Bombyx mori: one gene and its partner. The protein of the gene in region 1 binds, or shares a complex with, the protein of each later gene. Links are inferred from orthologs where the notes say so. Each region holds a gene or a part of one and is shown in the gene's direction. Other genes may lie near its edges.

The links. Proteins that work in one complex are often made in the same cells at the same time.
Region 2: the proteins of regulator of MON1-CCZ1 complex (region 1) and protein SAND are in contact, whole or in part, in a cryo-EM structure (PDB 8JBE), measured with the Drosophila melanogaster proteins. The link is inferred for Bombyx mori from reciprocal best matches to the Drosophila melanogaster genes Bulli and Mon1. Residues at the interface, in NP_648047.2 of Drosophila melanogaster: Ile561, Arg565, Lys568, Asp590, Leu592, His595, Ser596, Arg599, Phe600, Met603, Phe631, Pro632; in NP_608868.1 of Drosophila melanogaster: Pro416, Glu417, Arg419, His438, Pro439, Glu445, Arg448, Met473, Lys474, Glu475, Arg476, Glu494, Pro495, Val496.

Annotation. Positions count from the first base shown.
Region 1 is NC_085117.1:6,356,836-6,360,492, reverse strand, and holds part of regulator of MON1-CCZ1 complex, read left to right. Parts: intron 1-532; coding exon 533-652; intron 653-1,265; coding exon 1,266-1,398; intron 1,399-1,934; coding exon 1,935-2,035; intron 2,036-2,901; coding exon 2,902-3,059; intron 3,060-3,629; coding exon 3,630-3,657. UniProt on the Drosophila melanogaster protein: Positive regulator of the Rab7 guanyl-nucleotide exchange activity of the Mon1-Ccz1 complex, possibly by enhancing its endosomal membrane association.
Region 2 is NC_085134.1:3,996,635-4,000,291, forward strand, and holds part of protein SAND, read left to right. Parts: intron 1-1,313; coding exon 1,314-1,572; intron 1,573-2,771; coding exon 2,772-3,246; intron 3,247-3,657. UniProt on the Drosophila melanogaster protein: Part of the Mon1-Ccz1 guanyl-nucleotide exchange factor complex specific for Rab7 that promotes the exchange of GDP to GTP, converting Rab7 from an inactive GDP-bound form into an active GTP-bound form.

The DNA of each region.
Region 1 (3,657 bases):
CATGCTAACGACGCAAGCTGCGAGCCGCATGCCCGACGACAATCGTACATTACCAGACAGGCAGGTCGGTTGTGCCTCCCGGCTATTTCTTGAAACGGGTGACGATGTCCGCATTGTGTAGTCTGTGGACTCCAGTAAACTATGCCTACTACTAACTAGCTATGACATGTCCTTCTTCAAACGAAGCTTGTGGAGAGTATTAAGCGGTAGGCAGCCGCTTGGCTCTGCCCCTGGCATTGCTGAAGTCCATGGGCGACAGTAACCATTCACCATCAGGTGGGCCGTATGCTCGTCTACCTACAAGGACAATAAAAAAAAATCGATTCAGAACAGATAGACCGTGAGATCGTTCCATCTAACTAATAAAAAAAACGTCAGATCTCCTTGTGGATAGGATCACTCGAATGCGGGATTTGTCAATGCAAACGAGGATACGGATGAGTTGGAGATCCGAAAGTACAACGCGCCTGTAGTAGCTCCAGGAAGCTGCGTTGGCTTGCCGCAGACGAATAGTCCTGACCCTGTGTTGCAGGTCTGGTTGATGCCCATTACGGGCCCCAGCGGCTTCCACTACACCCACATCCTCAAGACTGGACTGGTCGGGAGATTCGCTGTCAATGTGGTCGATGACTTGGTCGTAGTGCACCACCAGGTACATTTCCAGAGTTTTCGTTCAGCTATTCTCAAGTTGTGTTAAGAAATATGATTTGTCTAATTTCGCTCTGATAAAGCCTCTCGCTCAGCTCAGCTGTCTCGCAAAGCTGTGATAATCGTTCGATAATATATTATATATATAACTTTGTTTTCTGTTAGCAAAGATTCTAATTTTTATAAAAGCAGTAAACATATTTAAACATTTTTACTGATGGTAGGGTGACTTATGAGCCCGCACGGGTAGGTACTACCGCCCTGGCTATTTCTGCCATGAAGCAGTTATGTGTTTCGGTTAGAACGGTGGGGCAACCGTTTTGCTATAAAACGATGATCTTAGAACTCATGTCTCAATATGGCAGCACTTAGGTTGTTGATGTCTATGGGCTCTGGTAACCACTTAACACCAGATTGGCTGTGTGCTCTAAGTAATAAAAAAACGCTACTATACTACGCCAAATGAATAATTTCAATAGAATATCCTATTTTATCTATTAACGTCAGCTACAGCTTGCCTAGGTCACCAAAATCTCTCTTCCTCCGTCGTACTGAACTTCTGAACTGAACTGAACTGTTCATTAACATTTACCAAGTGGCCTCACGATTCCTTGCAGTCGACACAAACCTCACAAGTGTTCGACATAATGGAAGAGTCGAAGGTAGAGAACAGTATCGCCGTTCACATCCCGCTGGTGGCAGGAGCCAGCATGCGACCGGCCCTCGTGGAGGGGCAGCCGTGTTCCATGTGTATCCTTTGTTTAAATAATAAAACACGACAAGCCTAAAGCAAATCCATTTGGGATCAAGAAAACTTGGCATGAAAATTAGCCCTCGGGCATGAAATTTAAATATACCTAACCGTTCTCTACTTTCCCTGTTAAATTTAATTTTATATGAAAACGACAAGAGAAAGTTATTTCACCGAGTGGGGGTCGTTGCCTAGTGACCGACGGTCCTTATGTAGTTGTTCGGTACCGGCAAACTTGTACTAAATAACGTTAGCGCCATTCAGTTTCTTCTCAGTTTTCTTCTGTTCTGTTATATTTACCGTTACGCGATCAAGATCATCGTTTAAATCTATAATATATTCCTTATCTGTCAACTCTTGGCCCATCAGGTGCAAAGATAATAATTAATATGCTATTTGAAATACGTAGGGTATTTGGAAATTGTTCCCTCGTAGCCTCCAAATTAAAACGCTCTTTTTGGACACTGGTCCCTCAACTGGCATTGGGAGAGCCTCGGTACCGTCAGCACGTAAATTCCTTACACAGAGTGTTCAGATTCGGGCACGTGGGTGGTGTTCCAACCCGACTACATCATAGACGCCAGGCTCGGCTGTCTGTGGCAGGTCCAGCTGCTGCCAGCGGGGCTAGCGCACTCGGTGAGTCGCCAAACCGTTTATTACTTATACTCTTACTGGTGGTAGGGCCTCTTGTGAGTCCGTACGGGTAGGTACCACTACCCTGCCTATTTCTGCCGTGAAGCAGTAATGCGTTTCCGTTGGTAAGATGGGGCAGCCGTTGTAACTATACTGACATCTTAGAATTTATAACTCATGGTAGGTGGCGGCATTAACGTTGTAGATGTCTATGGGCTCCGGTAACCGCTTAACACCAGGCGGGCCGTGAGCTCGTCCACCCACATAAGCAATAAAAAAATTAAATATTTCACTTAAACTTCACAAAATAAAAAGAACCATCGAAAATGTTCGAGAACTCTGTAAAATGCCTTGAAGATTTTTATACTTTACTAGCTGATCCGGCAGACTTCGTAGTGCCTCAATCGATAAATAAAAGACCTAAACTTTTATATAAAATAAACTTAAAACAAACAAATGGAATCCATCCGACGGGGGACACATCAAAGGAAAAATAAAATTGTTATTTTTATTTAATTCCGAGCATGTTCATATTTACCTACCTTTTAAACCTTCTCTGGATTTCCACAAATAATTCAAGACCAAAATTAGCCAAATCGGTCCAGCCGTTCTCGAGTTTTAGCGAGACTAATGAACAGCAATTCATTTTTATAAATATAGACTAAATATATTTCGAAAGTAATTTAAATCTTACGCTCTGAGCGGGAAGCAGAGCTCGGGAAATCTTATTTGCTCTTACATGACGGTGGGAGGAAAAAACTCCAAAATCTTCCTAACACAATTATTGAATGGCGCGTTCCATCCTGTACGCCGGATGCTCAAGTTTTGCTGCTGTTCCTTCAAAAGTCATTTGAAAAATAAAATAACAGGTGCCAAAAGACGAGATATCGAAGATAGTGGCCGCGCTGCTCCGTCGGACGGACGGCAGGGACACCATCTACAGGATCCTCCACCAGCTGATCAGCGACGCGGGAGTCTACCTGGTGGAGCTGTCTAAGGTCTTTGACGAAATCAATTCTGTTTACAGGTGGGTACTTTGAAATACTTCGATAAAACACAAGATTAAATTATCTAATGTTGTTTATTGAAATTTTTTTGGTACTTGAGGGCCGTAGCATCGTCTTGCCTAGTTATGCCGCCGAGCAGTTAGGCGTTCCCACCTGAAGGATGGGCCGGCTGACTCACAGGCCTCGGGATCTAGAACTGGAGGGGCACTCGTGTCGTGATGCTCATAGGCTCCGATAACCACTTAATATCTGCTGGGATGTGGGCTCGTCTGACTATCTAGAGCAGCCTTTCCCAAAGTGGGCGATAGCGCCTCCTTGTGGGCGCTGCAGGTCTAAAGGGGGGCGGTAAGAGACCCAGAAAAAAAAAGAGTTTTCATCTAGCAGGACTCTTAGACACCAACTGAGCTCTCGCTATAATGGTTGTATGTAGGTGAAAAAATGACGGCGCAAAAAAATTATTTAACCCCTAAGTGGGCAGTAGAAAAAATAAGTTTGGGAACCCCTGATCTAGAGTAATCAAAAAATCTAAGTTTAAATGCAAAATGAGTTACAGATCCAAAGAGAGTAAATGTGTCTGTCGGCCGGGACAGGAAGTGGGCGGACCTGGAGGCGGCGCGG
Region 2 (3,657 bases), on another chromosome or scaffold:
GTAATCATAATAACTACATAACAAGCAGCGAAACTCCGTACCGTAGAAAGGCTTCGAAACATTTAAAGAAGATATAAATTTTAATGGCTCGGAATGAAGCTTACGACGAATTATGAAAGAGCTAGGCTTCAGATGGAAAAAAAGAACAGAAAATAATCGGAAGCTGGTAAATGAAAAAAGTAACATTCGATTACTACGAATCGAATATCTTCAAAAAATAATTAATTATAGACAAAAAAGAAGACCGAATCGACCGAGTTGTAAACTACGCCGATGAGCCCTATGTCGACTCATCACGATGATAGCGACTCGGGTGATGAAAACAGTGATGATGATGATGGTCAAGATTATGATAACGAAAAAAAATATACAAATACCAGCTTCGCTTCAACTGAACCAAGACCTGGCAACAGCTCTAGTTTTGACTTAATAGAAGGAATATCTATTTTATCGCAAGATTAAATTATTACAATTATTAACCTATATGTTTTGTTGATGTTCTAATAAATATATAAATAAATACATATGTTGATTTTAATAATTTAATAGCATTATGACGCAGAGTAAGTAATGTTTTTGCACGTGAGTGTACCATGCGCAAACTTACCCCCACTACGTCAACAAATGCTCAAGAAGTTTGCCGGTTATTATATGCAATGTAAAAAAATATGCAAGATAATATTTTCAACTGTGTTATCGGTATAAGAAACTGTGTAATTATAATCTCATATAATTATCTTATCCTCCCAGATGCTTGTTTTGTGTATTAGTTTTAGGTATGTTGCAAGGTGGCACAAGTTGTCTCTTATGTTTTGTCTCCTTCCACAAGCAGCAATCATACATTGTATTATAATGGAGACTTTTATGTTCTCTCTAGTTATTCATTCACGATTTTTATCGAATTATTCTAGTGAATTAAAAAAAAACAAAATGTGTGCAATTCACACGTGGTAGAAGTGAAACCTTCCAAAATTAAAATACAATTATTCTTAAACGTCTTAAGTATATGTAAAATTTTGTCATTAGTAAATAATTGTAAGGTAGCGCCTTCTGTGAATTGATATTTTAATTTCACGTATAATCCTAAATTAAAATTCACTACAAGAGCTTTCATACACACATTAGTATTAAAAAATCTCACAGATGGCGCTGTATTAAATAGTATGTATATTTCTGTCTCATTCTTTGCTGGCTTCATCCTACACATTTTTGTATTTGTGTCTCTTACCTGTCGTTTTTTCCGTTGCATCCGGTTTGAAATCACAACGATTCTAAAGAAGTTTTCACTTCAAAAAGTACTTAATTTTTCTCAGGTGCAGTCCGATGCCTTCCTTTACCAGAAAAAGCCAGAGAGAATATCACGAATGCAATAACAACCACGTGCCACAAGATTCGTGATCTCGTCTTCGCTATAATGATAGCTGGGAATCAACTGATAACATTAGTGAGAATGAAAAAATACACCCTGCACCCTTCGGATATACATTTGCTTTTCAATTTAATAAGGAGTTCGGAGTCATTCAAAACGGCCGAGAGCTGGACGCCAATATGCCTTCCCAAGTTTGATGCAACGTGAGTTTGTGTTTTATATGAATAACTTAAATATATTATCTATATATTAATACGTGAAGCAAAAACTTTGTATCCCTTTTTACGACGCGGGGACGGAGGAGTATGAAATTTTCCAAACTTACAGAGAATAGAGAAGAAGTGCACAATGCTAATATTTTTTTAAAATAATGCATAAAAGATACATTAAATCAATAAAGAAAACATTACACACACTACATACCGTGTATTTGACACACACACGTATCCATACTATTTATTGTCAAACTTTTGTTCTTGACTTCTGTTGTCAAATTGAGAATAGATTAAATATTGTTTGTCTTTGTTAATACTTTTTTAGTGTAGTCTTGGCGAAATTTGTGATTATAGAAGTATAAAATACAATCATAATAGTGTACAAACTTACAATTCCAATTAATTATAGTCGAATTTCGACTACTGCGGGACTTCTAGTATAAAATATTATATGTTGGATACTAGGCATAGCCTGTATCGTAAGTTCCTCATGATACAGGCTATGCCTAGTGTGAAGATCATTGGTTAATATTATATTGTTGATACCATCTGCCTAATCCCTCAATTCGTTAAATATGTAAATAGTATTCTAGGTCATGATTTAAGAGTTTATGTAGTAAATAAAGAAATTATTATTATTATTATTTCATGTTAGCGAACAAGAAACAAAAAAAGTACTTAAAAGATAAAACAGTCAATGAAGTCATATCCTGATACATAATTCTTCTGAAAAGTAGTCATGCATTCCGGTTCTAATAATAGCATAGCTCTTATACAATAAAATTGATTTCGACCTTATGTCCCAGGTGAGTAGTGGTATGAGTATTTAACGGTAGGCAGCGGCTTGGCTCTGCCCCTGGCATTGCTGAAGTCCATGGGCGACGGTAACCACTCACCATCAGGTGGGCCGTATGCTCATCTGCCTACAGAGGCAATAAAAAAAGAAAAAAAAAGAGCATTTTAATGTCCATACTCAAGTCATCAATAAACAGCCTAGCCTGGTGACGCTGACATGATCTCCCTAGACCATCAGCTTAGGTAGGAAAAAAATGAACAGATGGGTAATTTCTGCAATAAAAAATACCGTCAGAGCATTGACTCTGTATTCCTAACTATGTTTCATTGCATGCATACGAGTTCCATTGTGATTTTTTTTCCTTCCATTTAAGTGTTGTATAAAATTTCAGGGGCTTCCTGCACGGCCACGTGTCTTACATATCAGAGGACTGCCAGGCCTGTCTACTTCTACTGACCGTACAAAGGGATGCATTTACAACTTTATCCCAAGCCAAACACACAATAGCCGAGAAAATGAGACGGGCAAACTGTTTAGTTGCCATTAACAATGCTTTAAACCGTAACGAAGAGTTGTCCACAACGAAACCCCTCAAGCACATCGGCATACCGGAAATAAGGCATTTTATGTATAAATGTAAATCAACAGCGCAGCTGTTCTCGTCGGATCCGATTAGTTTAGATCGATTACAAGATTATCGATTAAGGCACAAAGAAGGGGGCGATATAGTCGATAAGAAAATAACAAAGTTGTCGGATATCGATTATGTTAGAAACTATCGGAAGTTTTGTAATCAGATACATTGTGTCGCGACGCCTGCTAAGCTTATATTCAGATCGAGTTCACAAGACACAATATTGTCTTGGGTAAGTCTTTTTATTTTTATTTTATATATGGATAGACCGTCGCTGATGGATGATAATACCTAGTCAGGTCATAAATTCTGTCACATGTTTAATGTAAAATAATTGAAACAAGTTTATTCATTATGTAACCATTCATATACCAAAATGAACTTAACAAAACATAGATTCTTATGACACTAAAGTTTATTCAAAATGACCTCCGTGATTTTGAATACAGGCCTTCAATCTGCGAGGCCAGTCGTCTATCGCAGCACGAACGAGGTCCATGTCAATATCGGCGGCTGCCTTAATCAAGGATGTCTTGAGTGATCCAAATTGGGATGAGGCTTTGAGCACGCCTTTTCCTCCAAGTGTTGCCATATCTTGTAATCTAACGGATTCAAATCTGGACTGGAGGAGGGCCAGTCTTCG